Stegostoma tigrinum: one gene and its partners. The protein of the gene in region 2 interacts with the protein of the main gene of each other region in a pairwise test. Links are inferred from orthologs where the notes say so. Each region holds a gene or a part of one and is shown on either strand. Other genes may lie near its edges. The genes, in order: slain1a, doublesex- and mab-3-related transcription factor 1Y-like and exosc1.

What was found.
Region 1: the proteins of doublesex- and mab-3-related transcription factor 1Y-like (region 2) and slain1a interact in a two-hybrid assay, tested with the Homo sapiens proteins (2 studies listed by BioGRID). The link is inferred for Stegostoma tigrinum from reciprocal best matches to the Homo sapiens genes DMRTB1 and SLAIN1.
Region 3: the proteins of doublesex- and mab-3-related transcription factor 1Y-like (region 2) and exosc1 interact in a two-hybrid assay, tested with the Homo sapiens proteins (2 studies listed by BioGRID). The link is inferred for Stegostoma tigrinum from reciprocal best matches to the Homo sapiens genes DMRTB1 and EXOSC1.

Annotation. Positions count from the first base shown.
Region 1 is NC_081359.1:28,293,904-28,301,396, reverse strand, and holds the start of slain1a (SLAIN motif-containing protein 1a), read right to left. Parts: upstream 3,095-7,493; coding exon 2,670-3,094; intron 1-2,669. UniProt on the Homo sapiens protein: Microtubule plus-end tracking protein that might be involved in the regulation of cytoplasmic microtubule dynamics, microtubule organization and microtubule elongation.
Region 2 is NC_081361.1:42,266,068-42,273,122, reverse strand, and holds the start of doublesex- and mab-3-related transcription factor 1Y-like, read left to right. Parts: upstream 1-4,003; 5' UTR 4,004-4,115; intron 4,116-7,055.
Region 3 is NC_081373.1:12,450,460-12,457,981, reverse strand, and holds the start of exosc1 (exosome complex component CSL4), read left to right. Parts: upstream 1-4,478; 5' UTR 4,479-4,553; coding exon 4,554-4,743; intron 4,744-7,522. UniProt on the Homo sapiens protein: Non-catalytic component of the RNA exosome complex which has 3'->5' exoribonuclease activity and participates in a multitude of cellular RNA processing and degradation events.

The DNA of each region.
Region 1 (7,493 bases), on a different chromosome or scaffold from region 2:
ATGCTGAAGTTGCACAGGACGTCGGTGAGGTCTCTTCTGGAGCACTGTGTCCAGTTCTGGTTGCCCTGTTACGGAAAGGATACTATTAAGTTGGAGAGGATTCACAAGAGAGTTACCAGAATGTTGTTGGGAATGGAGGGTTAGAGTTATACGGAGAGGCTGGATAGACTGGGACCTTTTTTTCACGTAGGAGGTTGAGGGTGACTTTTAAAAGATTTATAAAATCATGAGGGGTAGAGATAAGGTAAATGACAAGTGTCTTTTTCCTAGGGTGGGTGATTTCAAGACTAGTGGGCATAATTTTAAGGTGACAGTAGAAAGACTTTAAAAAAGACATGAGAGGCAATTTTTTAACGCACAGTGTAGCTTCATGTGCGGAATGAACTTACAGAGGAATTGGTGGATGCGGGTAAGTTACAACTTTTAGAAGACATTTAGATAAGTATGTGAAAAATAAACACTTGGAGGGATTTGGGTCAAGACAGCCTTGAGCAAAGGCTATCCCCCTTCACTTTACTGAGGGCTGCTGACAAGCAAGACAAGCTTCCTGGCTTTATGGCTGTGCTAAAAGGCAAGACAATACACATTACTGTGAGCCTGGTATCTCTAGCTGAGGGGGCAAAGTATACTAAGGCAAGGCAGGGATGTTATGAGCATCCAGGTAGTCACAGAGTGAAGGAGTGCTATGACAAGTAAGGGGACAGGCCAGAGATACAGCCTGGTCCAGTCCACAAAATAGTTGTGTGTCCCTGAGCACACCATTACAATAATAGCTGCTGGTGCCACTCAAGATGCAGCATTAAGTGCAGAAGCAATTGTGGATCGAGGAAGTCCAATGAAGCTTCTCAGAAACTGGGCATGTTAACTGTCAACGTACTTAGATGTGGGGTACATGTGTCCAGTGCCCATGGAGTGTGCACTGTGTTGGTGGTACAGACGTCCTCTGGAACAAACACTGAGCTTAAGTTGCTGTCTTCATTGTGCTTTGTAAGGTAGAATATTAATGAAACCATTTCTGCTATTAATAAGGTACTTTACAAGCTTCAAACTGCCCTAATTTGCCGCTTGCCACTGCCTTTGCAGACACTCTCTTCCCCACTCAACAGATACAATGAGTTGCTCCCAACATCAAGTTGGGCCTCAGCAGACTTCTCACACAATCCGGTCATAAATCTGAACATAACCCATGTCATTCAGGCCACTATGAGATTCCGCTCATGATATTTCAACAACTTTGCATGCTTATTATATTGATGATGCTATAGGGCATTTATGTTAATGTTTGATGACACTGAAGCAACTGAGTGTAGTCACTATTGTGTCTTTGGGGAAAAAAAGCAAGTCAAAACAATACAGGTGTCGACAAAGCAAACTAATGCAAAATACAGGAACAAAACAAAGTTGCTGGAAAAGCCCAGCAGGTCTGGCAGCATCTGTGAAGGAAAAAACAAAGTTAACATTTCGGGTCCAGTGGCCCTTCCTCAGAACTCAAATACAGCGCAAAATACGAGAATGGTTTAGAATCTTCCAGATAAGTATGCAACATCAGTTATTTTTGATCACTGGAATTGAGGGCCGAGAGCTCATTAAAGGATTCCTATATTCTCACTTTCCACTATTTCTAGCATTCTCTAGTCAACCTTAAAATCTGTCCCTGTAGGCTTGTAACTCACAGGAACTGTTAAAATACTATTTTCAAATACAATGACTAGCAAACCACTGCCCACACACAATAATTTTAGGTTATATTTAAATTTTTAATGTAAAAGCTAAACTCGTAAATAACAAATTTGATTTTCACTATGGTTACTGACCTTTTCAGATTAACAATCAAGCAGTATTGAAAGATCAGAAAAATACACTTTAGACCAGCCAACCTAAATCTATGGCAGGGTGAAACTGCTTTATTATTAAACAGAGTCTCATGTCAATTGGCCAATGCCTATAAATTATAACAGGCAAGTGGTGAAAGACAAGAGGTGTACACAGTGTGCACTGGTGACACAAACATAAGGAGAAGTCTTGCGCAATTTAACAAAGTAGAAATGGCAACTTCTTGTCAAATGACGCTGACAGATATAATGAATGGTAAGGAGAAGTTAGGGGGAGGGAGGAAGGGGATGGGAGTGACAGAGAGAGTGAGGATGGGGGTGTGAATACATTGGCCAACTGGGGGGAAGATGAGGAGCAGAATGGGGAAAAGATGAGGAGGAAGACAGAAGAGAAGATTATGAGGATGAAGAAGGAGGACTGGGAAGAAGATGAGGAAGAGGAGGAGGACAGGGAGGAAGAGGGCTGGGGAGATGATGAGGAGGAGGACAGGGGAGAAGAAGATGAGGAGAAGGAAGAGGACAGGGGAGGAGATGAGGAGGAGGAGGACTGGTGAGAAGATAAGGAGGAAGAGGACTGAAGAGGATGAGGAGGATGGGGAGATGAGGAGGAGGAGGACGCCTGGGGAGAAAATGATGATGGGGAGAAGGATGAAGAGAAGATGAGGAGGAGGAAGACTGGGGAGAAAATGAGGAGGACGAGGATGGACAGAAGATGAGGAAAGGTAAAGAAAAGAAGAGGAAACGACACTGAGCTCGCCCACCAGTGTATAATAAAAATGGATATTTTGCAAGCTGGTGACAAAGGCAGTAAAAATGGAGAGACAAATAGAACGATACCAGTTGTCCTCGTTTCCGCTGCAGCCCCCGTTGTCTAGGTCCAGGGTGTCCACTTCGTCGAGGAGCAGCCTGGCCGAGCCACTGGAGCCCAGTGAGCGGGGAGAAGCTTCGCTGGTGCCGGGAGGCTGCCGGCAGTGAGCGGTGGGCGGGTAGTTACTGCTGCTGCCGGTACCGCCAGGGTAAGCTGCCGAGCCCGGGGGAGGTGCAGGGCAGTAAACCGGGCTGCCGGGAGGGTACAGGAGAGCCGTAGGAGAGGAGGAGGAGGAGGTAGCGGCGGCGGCACTGGCCCTGCTCTTCAGCTGCTCGTTCTGCCACTCGAGTTTTCTCACCAGCTCCTGCAGCTTCTTCACCTCCAGCTCGGCACTCACCTTGGAGCTGACATCCCCCGCTGTAGCCCCCATCACCTTCAGCAGAGGCGCCTCCATCCCTTCCCGCCACCACCACCCCCCCCCCCCCCACTCCTCCTCCCAAAATAAAAGCCTCTTCTTGTGATTAAAGCTTCGATGGGGACGAACAGGAGCCGCTGCCTTTCGATCTCCCCCAGTTCCCTGCCTCTCTCTCTCTCCTACACAACAAAGAACAGGCGCATATTGCGACTCAGGTCTGCAAAACCCTCCTCTCCATTACGATCTCTGCCAACACTCACACACCAGCCAGCACTGTATTCCGTCTGTATGTGTTTTTTTTAAAAATGCTATCAGGCGACACCCTTCTTCTACCCCGTTCTCCCCTATCAGTCCGCAATCGATCTTATTGCAAGATTTTTTTTGGGAGGGTGGGGGTGTTATTTCACGAAAGCGCCGCCCATATCAAAGGAGTGTCGTCGCCTGAATGGTAACGGAGACACAACGAACTCCCCCAACACCCCGCCTCCGGATCACTGCCGCATCGTTCTTTATTCAGTTTTTTTTGTGGGTGTCACATGCGATAATCTGTTGCAGTTTTATTGTTGCAAAACTGCGTGTGCTTCAACAGTACATGCGTCCTGCTGTGAGGCTCGCTGTTCTGAAAAAGGATCACTGCACTCGAAACGTTAACTCTCCTATCTCTCCACGGATGCTGGCAGACCTGCTGAGCTCTTCCCATCCATTTCTGTTCTTGTCACCGTGATTTCGACAGCGTCAATTGGGTGTGAAGTTGCACATAGGAAATATACTCAGCGCAAAATATGATCGTGCAAATCATGCATCGTGATACGCAGGTAAAGCATTCCAGCACATGTACACATAGACTGAGTGAGTTGGCCATGGTTTAGTAGGCTGAGTACCTTCTGTGAAGTTGTAAGTCTGTGTGCTAGGAAGAGTACAATAAAACCGTTCTCTAAATGGAGAGAGACTACAGAATGCTGCTGTACATGTGGATAGGTTAGCCTTATGTATGAATCACAAAGAGTCAAGTTCATAGTCTCATAGAAATATGCAGCATGGAAACAAGCCCTTCAGTCCGTGGCACTCATCTGTGCCAATGAGATATCCGAAACTGATCTAGTCCCATTTGCCAGCATTTGGCCCAAATCCCTCTAAACCCATCCAGGTGCCTTTCAAATGTTGTAATTGTACCAGCCTCCACCACCTCCTCTGGCAGCTCATTCCATACACACACCAGCCTCTGCACGAAAAAGTTGCCCCTCAGGTCCCTTTCAAAGCTTTCTCTCTCACCTTAAACCAATACCCTCTAGTTTTGGATTCCCCAAACCTGGGGAAAAAGCTTTGGCTACTCACCCTATCCATGCCCCTAATGATTTTATAAACCTCCATAAGGTCACCCCTCAGCCTCCGATGCTCTAGAGGAAATAGCCCCAACCTTTTCAGCCTCTCCCTATAGCTCAAAAGCTCTAACACTGGCAAATCTTTTCTGAATCCTTTCAAGTTTCACAACAGGTTTCCTTTAGCAGGGAGACCAGAATTGAATGCAGTATTCCAAAACTGCCCTAACCAATGTCCCATGTACACCTGTAACAGAACCTCCCAACTCCTAAACTCAATACACTGACCAATAAAGGCAAACATACCAAACACCTTCTTCATTATCCTATCTACCTGAGCCTCTTCTGCCTGCCAGGCTGATTCCAGTGACGGCAGGTCTGACGTGAGGAGAGATTGACTAGGTTCGGGTTGCTTTCACCGGAGTTCAGACAACTGAGAAAATAATCTCACAGAGACTTATAAAATTCTAACAGGACTAGACAGTGGAGATACAGCGAAGATGTTCCCAATGGTGGGTGTGTCCAGAACCAGGGCCCAAAGTGTGGTGAACCTGTGAAGTTAATTACAACAGGAAGTAGTTGATGCCAAAAAATTGAATGTATTCAAGTGGTGACTAGATATAGTACTTGGGGCGAATAAGATCAAAGGTTATAGGGAGAAAGCAGGATTAGGCTATTGAATTGGACGATCACCCATGATTGTGAAGAATGGCAGAGCAGACCTGAAGGGCAGAATGTCTTCCTCCTGCTCCTATCTTCTATGTTTCTATGTACCAGTGACTCCACTTCCAAGGAACTATGAATCTACACCCCAAGGTCATTTTGGTCGGCCACATTCCACAGGATCTTACCATAAAGTGTATAAGTCATGCCTTGATTTTCCTTTCCAAAATGTAGGACCACACATTTATCTAAATTAAACTTCATCTACCACTCCTTGGCCCATTTGCTCATCTGATCAAGATCCCATTGTACTCTGAAATAGTCTTCTTCACTAGGTACTATGCCACCAATTTTGATGCATCTAGAAACATAATAACCATCCCTCCTATGCTCGCATTCAAATCATTTATATAAATGATGCAGTAAGTAGCTGCAATACAGTAGCAAACTGAACATTAGCCTTTATTGCAAACGAGATGGAATGTCAAAGTCCTGTCCTTATTTGCTGCAACTGTACAGAGACCACACCTCAAGTTCTGCATGCAGTTTTGTTTACAAAAGCTCGGGGGTGGCGGGGTTGGGGATGGTGGTGGATTATGGATTTACTTGTGTTGGAAGCAGTTCAAAAAAGGTTCACTAAGCTGATCCCTGGAATGAAAGGATGGTTGTATGAAGAAATGTTGAGCAGGTTTCACCTATAGCCATTAGAATTTTAAAAATCTGAAGGGTAATCTTATTGTAACATGTACAATCATGAGAAGGGTTTGACAGCATAAATGCTGAGAGGCTGTATACTCTGGCGGAGAATCATAACTGAGTCACACAGGTTAAAATAAAGATATCAGAAGGTTTTTTTATGCTTTGTGAAGGGCCATTGGCAGTTAGAATTCTCTCCCCAGTGAGCAGTGGAGACTGTCATTGAATATATTAAAGGCTGAGTTGGACAAATTTTTAATTAGCACAGAGAAAAAATGGCTATGAAAGACTGGCAGATTATCTATGATTCTGTTCATTAGTGTAACAGCCTACTATGCCAAATGGCATCTTGCTCTTATTTCTTATGTTCTCTTCAGTTCCAAAACTTGGAATTGCCTATACTTGGCAATTAGGGTGATTCCTCTTGGCACCCCTGCATGCTTTATTAATATTCATAGTCAGCTTCAATTTTTGACCAGAGAAATGTGTTTTCTGTGCCTTTATCATAAGTCAGTGCATGGGATCAGGCAGTACGCAGTGTTATGAAGAAGGTGAATGGGAGTTTCACATATGCTCACATGGACCAGAGCACACGTGGCAACATGAGTGACAAACAGAAAAGGATCCCTGTGGAAAATGAATTAAGTTGAAAGCCAGTTTCCAGTGAAATATCCTATGGTTTGCAAACACAACAATTTACTGCCTTGCAGAGAGAGAATTTGCTGTTTCATGCGAAAAAAAAGTGAGTATGGAAAAAAAAATCCACACTGAAGAAAAAAACCTCATCCAAACGCACTGTAAGAGCTGGGACAAGCCGATGATTTGACCTCTATGTATCAGAACAAGTGCTAGAAAATCATTGGAATGATTATACCCTCATATGGACTGTGATGTATACATAAACATTTAAGTGGGTCAAATGAATAGTTAAGTTCAGACCAACAGCTATTTAGTGATATTTCAGATAATGGGAACTGCAGATGCTGGAGAATCCAAGATAACAAAGTGTGGGGCTGGATGAACACAGCAGGCCAAGCAGCATCTTAGGAGCACAAAAGCTGATGTTTCGGGCCAAAGGGTCTAGGCCCGAAACGTCAGCTTTTGTGCTTCTAAGATGTTGCTTGGCCTGCTGTGTTCATCCAGCCGCGCACTTTTTTATCTCAGCTAATTAATGATATAGCAGGTATATGGAACAAACCAATATAGTGATCTGACTAAAGTCCAAGATTGCTCAGAAACTACTAAAGGACGCTAATGTTAAAATGACGGTTAGGGTGATTCATCAAACAGCAGAAGAGTAAGTACCCATCATGTCACATCAGCAACATGGGTGAAATGGCCGTGAACGGAATAATGTCTATCATAATTTTCAAATGTAAATCCTGTAGAAACTCAAATTCTACCATTCTTCTTCTTGAGTGCATTCATATCAATGGCTGGATGAATCGAATAAACTGAATTTGTGGACTGATGGTGTGTTGAATAGCAGTCTGGATGGCCTATGTAAAAAATGCAGTTTATTAATACTGGTCGTGCTCAGATCCTTTATAACCAACGAGTTCCACAGGCGTCTATGAAAATATAGCACCTGTAATGCAGCTTTACCAAGAAGTTTAACGTCCATAGTTCAACCTTTTGATGGATGCCTCAACAAGCTATTCACAGATCATATTGGTGCTGGATGGAATGAGTGATAGTTGTTGGAGAAAAAGGCTTCAGAGGGTGTTGAAATGCATATGTGTGCCCTGCTGATGGTTTGT
Region 2 (7,055 bases):
GGGATCTGTACTGGAACCTCTGCTATTTGTGATATACATAAATGACTTAGGTGAAAATGCAGATGAATGGGTTAGTAAGTTTGTAGATATTACAAAGACCATGGAGTTGTAGATAGTGTGGAAGATTGTCAAAGGATACAGCAGGATATAGATCAGTTGCAGATATGGGTGCAGAAATGGTAGATGGAGTTTTATCCAGGTAAGTGTGAGGTGCTGCACTTTCGGAGATCAAATGTTAAGGCAAAGTATACAGTTAATGGCAGAAGTCTGAACAGTATTGATGTACAGAGGGATCTTGGGGTTCAAGTCCATAGCTCCCTGAAAGTGGTAATGCAAGTAGATAGCGTGGTAAAGAAGGCATATTGTATACTTGCCTTTATTGGTCAGAGAATTGAGTACAAAAGTCAGGATCTCATGTTGCAGCTTTATAAGATTTTGGTTAGGCCACACTAGGCCACACTGCATTCAATTCTGGTTGCCACATTATAGGAAGGGTGTGGAGGCTTTGGACAGGGTGCAAAAGAGGTTTACAGGATGCTGCCTAGATTGGAGGGAATGAACTATAAGGTGAGGCAAGAAAAACTTGGGTTGTTTTCTCTGGAGTGGCAGATGCTGAGGAATGACAGTCAGAACCATTCTCCCAGTGTTGAAATGTTTAAAATTGAGGAATGCGTTTAAGGTGAGAGGGGAAAAGTTTAAAGGAGATGAGAGGGGCAAGTTTTTTACACAGAGTGGTAGGAGCATGGAACACACTGCTGGGGTAGTGGTGGAAGTAGAAAGGATAGGGACAGTTAAGAGACTTTCCGATAAGCACATGAATATGCAGGAAATGGAGGGATATGGATCAATGGCAGGCAGAAGGGATTAGTTTAATTTGGCGTCATGTTTGGTACAACATCGTGAGCCAAAGGTCCCATTCCTGTGCTGTACTGATCTATGTTCTATGTTTAATATCCTTTTGGTAATGGTATTTAGTAAAGGGTATGTGTAGCCAACTGTAACTCTCAAAGGGCATCACGAACGCGGTTAGAAAACTGCTCCTTTCATTGAGCTTCACTTGCCAGTCATGAACCTTTGCTTCTTGGGTGATGAAGATTTTCACATTTGCATGTTGTGGCAAAATCCCTTTGACTGTAGCATGGGTTGTGATATCACTTCAGGGCTCTATTTCAATCCTTTGGGTTGATTCATACTCTCAATTTTCCAGGTTGTTTCACTGCCAAAATGCAGCAATCCACACTGTAGGAGCTGTCAGATTCTTGATTACTCCCTTTTTCCGGGCTCCTCCCTCTTGTGTTTCAGCCTGGCTTTGCGGGAATTGGTTTTCCGTTCTCATCTGCTTCAAGGTGATATTCTCCTGGAAGACAGCCTTGCCTTGCAAATACATCAATGTACTCCTCTGCCATTTCTTCTACATCAATGGTTTAGTGTACTGTGACGTGTGACAAATGTCTTTGGTACATTGAGGCTTATCACTCCAAGCTTTAAATTTGCCTTGTTGAAATAAGTGTCATATGCTATCTATCTATGATCCGGAACTCAAGATCCTCGATCATTTTGTTGCAACCATTCACAAAGTAACCTGTCCTCTTGGCAAGATGATGGTGCCATGATATAGCCTTAACCTTATTTTGAGGGTTTCCTTAATTTTTGGATCACCGCATTTAACCACTTCCTACAGGTCAATGAGGTCATGATGCACCAATATCTATCTGATACTTCATGTTGACTTGATGTTTTCCTTGTGCAGTCTTCATTCCCATAGTCACAAAGCATGTATCACTCAATAACTTGACTAAATCAACCTACTGACTGATGTAGAGTGATTCATCAGAACCTTCAGCTGACATATCTCCAATGGCCTTCTGCACTTGCTTCTTTTTAGCCATACATGTGTTTACAATGATTCGGCTTCTTGCAGTGAAAACACAGCTTTCTCCACAATGGCCATGCCTCTTCTTCTTTGCATTATGTCCTCTCTGGTACTTTCAAACTGCAATTTTTCTGTAATTGTTCTGTCCTGTCTACCTAGAGTATCTATCAGTGCAATGCTGGAAACCTAGTTTGTTTTGCCATTAATATCCTCAAGCTACAAATTCACAGCCTCAGCACGTCTGCACTTGTCAATTCTCTCTGGAATGTAAGTTTCTCTTGTCTCAGTTGGTGTGTTTTCACTTCTGCATCTCTTATGACTAATACAATCCTGTTTAAGGGGATCATCTTTATTTTGCAACTATTCATAGGTTTCTGCAAGCTGAGTTAATGATGGTACATATTAATCAATGATCTGTTTGTACATTATTCCCTCATTTTAAATATGTGTTGTTTTTCTGTAACATTCACTTAATGCTCAAAGCATGTCTCCAAAGTTTATAAAATTTCTGCCTTTTTTTTCTGCTCTGCAGCAAGATTTAGAGTGGAATATGTTTTGAAACAGTGATAAAAGTATAGTCACTTGTAACCATTCTGTGATAATAAAATGTGACGCTGGATGAACACAGCAGGCCAAGCAGCATCTCAGGAGCACAAAAGCTGACGTTTCGGGCCTAGACCCTTCATCAGAGAGGGTCTTCATCATGATGAAGGGTCTAGGCCCGAAACGTCAGCTTTTGTGCTCCTGAGATGCTGCTTGGCCTGCTGTGTTCATCCAGCCTCACATTTTGAGGCCTTGTTATCACATAGCTAGCCATTACACACTATCTATTGTTAGGCACTAACAGTCTCCGTTAACAGCTGTTGACCCTCTTCGCAAGATTGTTATCAACGGTTTTGTCTATCCAACTACTCTGCTCTCTACTGGGCTCTACCCTTTATCCTGTTTACTCCCTACACCCTCCCCCCTCCCTATCTTCTGCACATAAACCAACATTTTCATCGGTTCTGAGGAACAGTCACCAGACCCAGAATTTTAACTCTGATTTTTTTTCTACACAGATGCTGCCAGACCTGCTGAGCTTTTCCAGCAACTTCTGTTTTTGTTCCTGATTTACATCATCTGCAATTCTTTCAATTTTATTTACCCGATAAGAGATATTTGGGGGATGCAACTCCTGTGGAGGAGGAGAGAAATAGGAGAAGATTTAGGAGAAAGAGAAAGCTTTGCAAAATGCATTCAGTCCAAATGATTATTTTTGTATGCTTCAAATTTAGCTATACACATTTTCCTCGAGGGTAGTTCTGTGACTCATTGCCAAGAACGTCTTGTAACTGATCATCCAGAAATAATCTTGTTTGCACACATCTCCCCCTGCTGGTTATTCAGCATTGAAGCAGCCACGTACAGTTTTAAATACATTTTCCAAGGTAAGTTCACTTTAACCGAAACCGCTAGTGAGGGGTGTTGCTTCATGGAAGCATAATACAGTGCAGCACTGATGACTTGACTCCTACTCCCTTTAACTGAGACAACTGCACTTTGAGTGTGGAATCACTGAATTCAGCTCAATCTTTGCAAAGCAACTGTACATATTTAGTTCTTTCATGAACGGAAGTCATGCCAACTTAACTATAACTATGCCGGACACTGAGGAATGCTGAAATGCCAACATCGCTGCACAAGTGAGACAGAATCTGACTGTTTCTGTTCACTTGCTTGGTATCTCACTAAGTGCAGATTCAAAGTGGGCGGCATCCCCGAAGTGTTTCTAAGAGAGGGTTCAGTGAACTTAGACATGTCATCGTCAAAGGTTCAGCTCCACAAGTTTCCAACCTTTTTAATGTAATGGCATATAGTGAAATCAGGATGAAATATCTGCTACCTCCCTTCTTCATAGTCCAATCAAATGAAAGGGAAGGATGATTCCATTGATTTACGCATGATTGCCAATTGCTTTAATCGTAACTGTAAAAGGGGGAATTGGATGTATAAACTCTATAAATGAAATGAAAAAGAAATACAGAGCAATAGGAGTAAGGGAGTAGGAATAAATGACGATTCTTTCAAAGAGCTGACTCAGGCATAATGGGTCAAAAGGCTTTCCACTGTGCTGTACAAAAAGAGTTCTCAGCTTTAACACTGGGCTAAGAAGACGTAGAGGCACGACAGGATCCCAGTCAAGGGATGGCAATGAGAGAAACAGCCAGGCTTCATTCAGTGGATCATAGTCCAGTGAAAGGTAAATTTTAGCTTAGGGCAGGAGCGAGTGGCGTGAGAGGGATTTGGATATAAAACACAATCCTATTAGCTTATTGCGCAAGAAGACAGTGGATATTAACAGGAATAATGGTGATAGAAATGTGAGAAAGGATGGGGACTGCAGTGTTGTGGATAAGTTGTAGTTTATGGAATGCAAAAGCTGTGAGAACCGCAATGAGTCAAAAGCCAAGATAAGAAAGGCTAAAGAGTAGGGTGTAATCGGGTGTGAATTAAATTGATTGTTTTCAGTTTTATCGTTTATTTTACGCAGGTTTCATATTATAATTTTAACACGTTTCCTGTGTTTTTTTCCTGAGTAGATTAATGTATTTTTCTTCAAGGTTAGTGCTGTCCTCTTGTGGTTGTTTAGCTGCATTACAGAAAGGGAGTGCTCACTTCAAAACAACAGGCTCAATTTTACTAAAAATCAGTTAAGGATCAATTTTGAGGACTTTCATGAAGGGCTTCCCTTCGTGAGCTGTAGCAAGTTATCTCATGCAATTTTCTACTGCCCACTTCAGTATGGATGCTGCGTGATGCTGTGGTGCTGTGTTTTCATTACTCTTGCTCACCATTGGCGGAAATACTCTCCACTGCCAAGATTTCCGTCTGCGGTGCCCTATTTAGAGACGAGCTGTTTACCGGGACAATCACTGCCAGCCACAAATACCCCTTCACTGCACTGTAATTGGAAAGGAAATGAGAAAGAAAATATTCTGAGGGCACATAGGTGCCATGGTAACACTTCATTGTGAGTGGAAGCAAACACTTTTACTATTTTACATCATTAACTGTCTGATCAGATGTGATCGTAACTACAATTACAAGAATCAAGCTACACAGGTTACCTCATTCTTAGCACTATGCCACGCTAGAATCAGAGTGCTACTCTATCCTTAATACCCAATGTAGCAGAGCATTTTTCTATGGTTCAATGTGGGAGCTTCACATGTTGGAAAGCCTTCAAACTGTTTAAGTCATTCATGTTTATTGAATAACACGAAAAGTAAACAAAGAAAAAAGGTGCATTTATTCCTGGGAACAAACAGGGTGTGACTTAGTTTGAGCAACAGCAAATTTTCAGTCAATGAGTGATCGCTCAGCTCACATCTCTTGGAAGGCAGGTGTCAATTAAGGCTTGTCTAACTTATCGTACCCAACGCCACTTTGCTTTATCACACTGAAGATGATATTTCACCTGCTCAATGTCCTCATCTCCTCCTCCTCAGTAGACTGATTCCCCACTCCAAACTCTTCAACATCCCCTCACATCCCCTCTTTCATCTTCTCCCGTTGTGCAGAGCATATGCTTGGATTATATGCATGGTCTGTCTGGAACGAACTGCAAGGCCCCCTATACCAATCCAAACAATGGAGCTTCATTTTTGGGTAGCCTGTCATCTGCTCCATAATGGCCCTGGTGGAAGAATAGGTTGCACTGTATCAATATTTGACCTCAGCCAGGGAGATGCAGAATGGAGTCACTAGCCGTGGTTGTAGGGGTTAGCCTTTGTCTCTCAGTAGCAGCCTTGGAAGGTATCCAGCCCTTAAAATGAAGTGAAAACATGAAGTTCTCAAAGATAGAGGCATCATGACAGCTCCCAGGGTACCTAGTACAGAATTCAAAGAAGTGGTACAGCAGAACACTTTTTTGTTGATGAAGTCAGTCATGTTATGATAATGATGCTCTCAGCATAATATGTTTACAGTTTATAGTGCCATGCACCTGACGAAAGCCAGCTACATTGGCGATGCCTACCACCTGGGCTACAGCATTGATCTTGTCACGGGAAATGAGATGAAATGTGTGATCTGGAAGAAATTGCATCAGTAACAACCTTGATACATTTGGGGTTGAGAAATTGAGAGATATCATATTGTCGATTCTTGGAAGCTGCTAGGTGCATAAATGTTTAATGTTCCCTTGTTGGCCACTGGGATACGATGGTCATCCATCCCTTCAGGTTGCAAGTTCTGCTTCAGCAGATGGTACAGTTCAGTGCCCTAGAACAGTGTTCTGGCATGCCCACAGGTAGAGGTGGCAGTGCACTCTGCTCATTTAGAGAAAATAACATTGAGGACAATAGACACAAAACATCCTCCTTTCTCTGCATCTTGAGGGGAACTTCAGTGGTGACTTCTTCAAAAAGAGAATATTTGACTGGAGCTGGAGATTGCTTACTGGCACATTTTTTTCTCCTTGATTTTCTGCACCTTTGTTGCATTACAATTGCAGTACTGGTTGTGCTGCTGTGGTTGGATCCATTGGTCTTGGTTCCATGAACCTCTTTGGGGAATATCAGAAACAGAACAGAACTGTGTGAGCAGTCAGCATTTGCATCACATATAATGACAATTTAGTACAGTTCTCCTTACAGTGGGATGTGGTGGATTCTGACAATGAGGACCATGAAATGCCTTGACGTAGACCTTTGACATAGTGGACCTTATTCTGATGTATGCAACAGGAACCAACCCCACATCACCTAAGGAAGGCAGCATTGCATGTAAGTTGTTGTTGGCAAACACTTGCTTCAAAGTGAGAAGAAATCAGCTCTGTGCCTTTGAGACCATAGACTGTCTTTGTGCTTTGTGGTCTGCAGGTCATGTGTGATTATTTCTCTTTCATAGAAATGACTATGATATAATAATCCACAATATGGTCCAAATTGCTTGTGGCCAGGGTTTGTATCCTGCAAGTGGAACTATGATTTTATAATTACAAATGTCTTTAAACTGTACTGTGTAAGTGCCTAATTAATGCAATTTCTCCTTGAGGGGCTTCACATTTCAAAAAAATAGAGCCAATATGCTCAAACTGAAAAAGAAATACTCACTTTGCCTAGATAACAAGGTGTGGAGCTGGATGAACACAGCAGGCCAAGCAGCATCATTGTAGCAGGAAAGCTGAAGTTTCAGG
Region 3 (7,522 bases), on a different chromosome or scaffold from region 2:
TAAAATCTCAAAATGTATAGGTGACACATAACTGGGTGAAAATGTGACCCACGAGGAGGATGCAAAAATGTTGCAGTATGATTTTGAAAGGCTGAGTGACTGGGCAAATGCAACATAGTGTGGGTAAATGTGAGGCTACCTACTTTGGCAGTAAGTATATAAAAGCACATTATTACTTGAATGGCTGTAAATTGAGAGAGGGAAATATTCAACGAAATCTGTATATCTTTGTGTACCAGTTGCCTAAGTAAGTGTGCAAGCGCAGGAAAGAAGACAAAATATATTTGGCCTTCACAATGAGAGAATTCAAATACAGGAACAAGAATATCTTGCTGCAATTATACAGGGCATTGGTGAGTCCATACCTGGAATATTGTGTTCAGTTTTGGTCTTCTTTTCTGAGGAAGAATGTTCATGCTATAGAGGGAGCAGGAATGGTTTACCAAACTGATTCCTTGGATGGCAAGGTGATGCATGTGGAGAGATTAAATCAGTTAGGTCGTATTCACTTTGGTTGAGAACAATGAGGGGATTTCTCATACACACCTATAAAATTCTAATGGAATTAGTTGGGTTTAATGCAGGATGTTCCTGATGGTAGGGGGTCCATAACTAGGGGTCATCATTTAGGAATAAGGTGTAACACTTTTAGGACTGAAATAAAGAGAAATTTCTTCACCCAAAGAGAAAGGCACCTGTGGATTTCACTACCCCCAGAAGGTGATTGAGGAAAACATTTCAAGGAGATAGATAGAATTTTTGTGGCTGAAGAAATCAAGTGATATCAGGAGACAGGAAGAATAGGGTATTGAGCTTGATGAATGGTGGAGCAAGCTCAAGGGCTCGAATGGCCTACTCCTGCTCCTACTTTCTATGTTTCTAGTCCAACCATTAAAGGTAATTAAAGTCCCCCATAATGGCTATTCAACTATGCTTATACATTTCTGCAATGTCCTTGCAGATTTTTCTCTCTCGAGATTTTTAAGCCATTTGCCAGGGTTGGAGAGTTTGAGCTGTAGGGAGAGCTGAATGGACAGGGGCTTTTTCCTCTGGAGCATTGGAGGCTGAGGTGTGGCCTTATGGAGATTTATAAAATCATGAGGGCAATGGACAGGGTAAATAGACAAGGTCTTTTCCTTGGGGTGGGAGGAGTCCAAAACTAGAGGGCATAGCTTTAAGGTGAGAGGGGAAAGATTTAAAAGGGACCTCATGGGAAACTTTTTTATGCAGAGGGTACTGCATGTATGGAATGAGCTGCCAGAGGAAGTGGTACAATTACCACATTTAAATCTATCTGGATGGGTATATGAATTGGAAGGGTTTACAGGGATGTGAGCCAAATGCTGGCAAATGAGACTAGATATATTTAGGATATCTTGTCAGCATGGATGAGTAGGACCGCAGGGCCTGCTTCAGTGCTGTATATCTCTATGACTCTAGATCCTTCCCACTAGTTAGTGGTCTACGGCTCACAGCGGGCAACGTAACTGCACTCTTCTTATTCTTTAGTTCCACCTGAATCAATTCCATCCCTGAACATTCTGAAATGTCCTCCTTCTCCTATATTGCAAGACTCTCCTTAAGAAAAAGACTCCATATTCCCTTATTTTTAAATATTTTCAATCTTTTTGTATACCTTGTAACCAAGAACATTTAGCACCCAGACCATCCCTTTCTAGAAATAATGGATGCATTGATGGCATCTTCCAGGATTCTTCAAACTCTGGAACAGTCCCTGCAGATTGCAGGGGAGCCATAGGTCACTCCAGTAATCAAAAAGGGAGGTAGAGAAGAAAACAGGAAATTATAGATCAGGAAGCCTAACATCTATAGTGGGGAAAATTCTCAAATCCATTATTAAGGACTTTATAGCAGAGCATTTAGAAAGCAGTAGCAGAATTGGACAGAGTCAGTATAGATTTATGAAAGGGAAGTCATGCAAATCTGTTGAAATTCTATGAAGATGTAACTAGTAGGGTTGACAAGGTGGGGGGCAGTCAATGTTGTATGTTTAAGATTAATGTGCACGGGATTGGCAGAAGTGTATTAAGATGGATAGAAAACAGGTTGACAGAGAGGAAACAAACAGTAGGAATTAATGAGATAATGGGAACTGCAGATGCTGGAGGATCTGAGAGAACAAAGTGTGGAGCTGGATGAACACAGTATGCCAAGCAGCATCTTAGGAGCACAAAAGCTTTTACGTTTCGGGCCTAGACCCTTCATCAGAAAAGGGGATGGGGAGAGGGTTCTGAAATAAATGGGGAGAGAGGGGGAGGCGATTGAAGATGGATAGAGGAGAAGATAGGTTGGCAGGCAGTAACTAGCTGGGTGTTGCAGGGATTAGTGCTGGGATCCCAGCTATTCACAATATATATTAATGATTTGGATAAAGGAACAAAATGTAATATCTCCAAGTTTGCAGACGATACCAAGTTGGGTGGGAGGGTGAACTGTGAGGAGGATGCAGAGATCCTCCAGCATGATCTGGACAAGTTCGGTGAGTGGGCAAATGAATGGAAAATGCAGAATAATTTGAATAAATGTGAGGTTGTTCACTTTGGATGTAAAAACAAGAAGGCAGATTACTACCTAAATGGCTGAAAATTGAGAGGGGAGTGTGCAGCAGGACCTGGGTGTCCTTGTGCATCTTGTCACTGAAGACAAGCATGCAAGTGCAGCAGATTGTAAAGAAGGCAAATGGGAAGTTGGCCTTCGTTGAAAGAGGTTTCAAGTACAGGAGCAGGGATGTGTTGTTGCAGTTATACTGGGCCTTGGTGAGGCCACAACTAGAATATTGTGTGCAGTTTTGGTCGCCGATTCTGAGGAAGGATGCTCTCGCTCTCGAGGAATACAGCAAAGGTTTACCAAGCTGATTCTGGGGATGTTGGGTCTGATATATGAGGAGAGATTGACTAAGTTATGATTATTTTCACTGGAGTTCAGATGAATGAAGAGGGATCTCAATAGAGACTAATAAAATTCTAACAGGACTTGACAGGGTAGAAGCAGGGACAATGCTCCTGATGGTGGGTGTGTCCAGATCCAGGGGTTACAGTCTTGATTTGAGGTAGACCATTGAGGACAGAGATGAGGAGACATTTCTACACCCAAAGAGTGGTGAGCGTGTGGAATTCATTACCACAGGAAATAGCCAATGCTAAAATATTTAAGGTATTCAAGAGGCAGGTAAATATAGCACTTGGGGCGAATGGGATCATAGGTTATGGAGAGAAAGCAGGATTAGGCGATCAGTTGAATGATCAACCATGATCGTGATGGATGGCAGAGCAAGCTCGAAGGGCTGAATGGGTTCCTCCTTTTCCTATCTTCTATGTTTCCTTGAGCCAGATCTCCAATATTTTACTTTCACAATCTACCATGGAAATATGTGCCTGTAACTTCCCAATCTTATTCACCATACTCAGTCCATGCACGTACATGCAGAGCAACCCTAATTTACGGTTCACTACCATCTCCATTATGTTGACTCCACATATTACTTCTATTCTCACACAATCTGCCTCCCCCAGCATCTTTTTGTACTCTGCCATTTCCTTCTAACGTTCTCTGCTGGTTCCCACTCCCCTGCGTAAACCCTTCAAGCAGTCAGGATCCTTCTTCGGAACTGCTCTGAAGAAGGGTCCCAACCCAAAATGTCGACTTTCCTACTCCTCTGGTGCTACCTGACATGTCGTGGGCCTCCAGTTCCATACTGTGTTGACTCTGACACCAGCATCTGCAGATCTTGGGATCTTTTTGCCTGTCTCCCTAAGACTGCCATAGCCACTGCGAGCACTGAAACCTGGAGCTCAAGCTTGCAGTGGCCCCACTTCCTCCACATGGGCTCATCAAGGTCATTTAGAATGTCCACACATGCAACAGCATGCATATTCCACTTGGCTGATCTGTCCTGCCATAATCTTAACCTATACTTTTAAGAAATTTTACTTGCTAAAACTTTAGTTTCCTTCTTTTAACTTTACTTTGATACTATTGACTTTAAAATAGAGATGAGTAAACAAAAAACAATTCTTTGCCCTTAATCATAAATCCCCTCTCCAGCGCCTGTTAATTCTTACTTTCCCTGTGCTAGTTTAGATACATTTTTTTCAAACTCGAATTGAAATGAATTTTCAGCTACTCAACAATATTAACCTCAGGACTTTCCTATGATATTGCTCAGAGGTTTACGTCCCGCCAGCCCACACTGTTTTATCTGGTGCTGGATGGAAATGAAACAGTACGGGGACCAATGTGAACTGTATTAAACTTTGACAAATAAAGCAATAGACACAAATGGAGATGAACATCATAGTCAGCTGAGAGTTTCGTTGTTTTCTCTCAGACGAGGAGCAGCCAGGGAGAGACAGAGAGGTCAGTACTGGAGGGTTGTGACGGGGGGGATGAGGAGGGAAGGCCTCGGGGCCGGGGAATTCAGGGAGACGAGATTGAAGACCCGAGGGCAGGATCCCGACCCGGGTTAGGGACGGGAGTATGGAGGAGATCCTGAACCAAGCCCAGAGAGAACAGGATAAAAGCCGGAGAGAGCCATGAGGCGAAGAGATTTGATGTCGCGAATCCGTCCCGGCCCTAGCAACCAACCTCAGCCAATCCGCTCGTCCTTTACTACCAGTGTCCGCGCGAGCCAATCCGTTCGCCCCTTACTACGAGGGTCTGCGACAGCGTGTTCTCCCCGGTTCTGTGAAGCTGTGATGGCGCCGCTGAAGCTCTGCATCCCAGGTACCGGCAGACTTCAAGAGCGGAGCAGGGATGGGATGTGTAAGAAGTAGGAACAGAGTAGGCCTTTCGACCTCTCGAGCTTGCTTCGCCGTTCGTAAGGATCGTGGCTGATCCCACACACCTCCTGTCTACTTGCCTGCTCTATTCCCATAATGATCCTTTCCCTACTAATCAAAAGTCTATCTGTCTCAACCTTAAATATACACCGTTTTTACTGTGGATTGAGAAATGGACGTTAGTGAACTCAGGGAAATAAATGTTGATCTTTTGAAAACAGTTCACATTACAGATGAGGAAGTGCTGTAGGTCCTAGAAAACGTAAATGTGGATAAGCCTTCGGGATCTGATCAAGCGTATCCCAGAACGTTGTAGGAAGTTGAGGAGGAAATTGTGGGCTCCCTAGCAGAAATATTTGTCTCATGTATAACCACAGGTGAGGTGCCTGAGGAGTGGGGGGAGGTTAACGTTTTGCCGTTATTTAAGAAAGGCTGCAAGGAAAAGCCAGGAAATTATAGACCCGTGTTTGAGACCAGTAAGTTGTTAGAGGTGATTCTGAAAAGTAGGATTTACATGCATTTGCAGAGGTAGTGAATGATCAGGAAGAGTGAGCATAGCTTTGTGCAAGGGAAATCACATCTCACAAACTTGATTTTTTTTGAGGAAGTAATCAGAAAGATTAATCAAGGAAGAGCAGTAGACATTGTTTACTTTGACTTTAGTAAGGCCTTTGATATGATTCCACATGGTAAACTAATCAGTAAAGTTGAATCACATGGAATTCAGGGTGTACTTGCCAATTGGATACAAAATTGAACGTAGGAAATGGACAGTGGTGTGGAGGGTTGTTTTTTTGGTCTGGATGCTTGTGATCACGGGTTCGACAGGGATTGGTACTGGGTCCACTTTTGTTTGACATTTGTATAAATGATTTGGGTGAGAATATAGGAGGCATGGTTAGTAAGTTAGTGGATGGCACCAAAATTAGTGGCATAATGGACAGAGGAAAAGGTTATCTAAGATTACAAAGAGATCTTGATCAATTGGGCCAATGGGCTGAGGAGTGACAGATGTAGTTTAATTTGGATAACTGCAAGGTATTGCATTTTAGTAAAACAAACAAGGGCAAGACTTATTCAATTAATGGTAGGGCTCCTGGGTAGTGCTGTAGAACAAGGAGACCTTGGGATTCAGGTATATAATTCTTTGAAATTTGCATCACAGGTATACAGGATAGTTAAGGGACAAAGGTAAGGTGAATAGCAAAGTTGTTTTCCCTAGTGTGGAGGATTTTAAAATTAGGGAGCATATTTTTGAGGTGAGAGGAGAAAGTTTTAAAAAGAACGTGAGGGGCAGCTTAATTCACAGAGTTGTTTGTGTGTGAAATGAAGTGCCAGAGGATGTAAGATAACAAAATTTGGGGCTGGATGAACACAGCAGGCCAAGCAGCATCTTAGGAGCACAAAAGCTGACATTTTGGGCCTAGACCTGCAGATATAGTTACAACATTGAAAAGACATTTGGATAAGATTAAGAAAAGTTCAGAGAGTTAAGGGCCAAGTACATGCAGGTGGGTCTAGTTTAGTTTGGGAACATGGTCAATGTGGACTGGTTAGACTGAAGGGTCTCTTGCCATGCTGCATGACTGTGACTAGGACTCTGCCCCCACAGCTGTTTATGGCAGGGAATTCCAAAGACACTCAACCCTCTACTAAAAGAAATTTCTCCTTGTCTCAGTCTTAAATTGGTGCCTCTTTATCCTGTGACTATGCTTTCTCATCCTAGACTCATGAGGGAAAACATCCAGTTGGCATTTACCATGTCAAGCTACGTAAGAATCCTATTATTGTGTCTTCCAGTAAGATTATGCAAGAGAAGGGCTTCTGAGCCCAGGGTTCATCCACACCGTCTGCTTTCCCATTTTTTTTGTCTTCTTTCTCTCTCTTTTGTTTCTTTTTTACTCTTTAGTTTTATCTTATTTCCCTTTTGCTGAAGAGCTTGGGCTCAGTAACAGCATTGCTGACGGGTTGGCCCAGCAGTATGGACTGATGGCAGCAATGTTGGAGGCGAGTTTGTGTTCCCGCATCTTGTGCATTGTGGAGGCGCTCCTAGTGCTGATTCATGACTGCTGCGGCAGAGGTGAATTGGGCCCAGCATGAGACCTGACGGCAGCAGCTGCATGTTGAGGTGGGTCGACGCAGACTCAAGGTGGCAGCTGAGTCAAGTTCAGGTCAATGCATAAAGGGAGGCATTGGTGGCATCCTTATTGGCAAGGCCCAGTTAGGATTCATCTTGGCAGTGCCATTGCTGGAGGTGAAATGGTGCCAAAGAGTGGCGTCGTTTGGTGCAGCAGTGGCAGCACGGTGAAGGAGGTGCCTGGTCACCAGGCCCATGGCCCATGTTAAAGCACTTAACAAGAAGGACTATAAATTAGACAATATAGTGTGGAGCTGGAGGAACACAGCAGGTCAAGCAGCTCAAAGGAGAGTTTTCTGAAGAAAGGTTCTGACCCAAAATGTCACCTTTCCTGCTCCCCGTTGCTCCCTGGCCTGCTGTGTTCCTCCAACTCCACACTGTGTTGCCTTTGACTCCAGCATCTGCAGTTCTTGCTATCTCCTTGTAAGTTAGACACTTTTTGTTCTCATTTTTCTGCCTTTATATTCTATGGTTTGGTTTTTTATTTGTTTTAAGATGCTCCCAGAGAGTGGTGCCACTTTTCAATGTATTTTTGTAACAAGTTACATGTGACAATAAATCAAATAGTAACGCTGACTTGGGCACT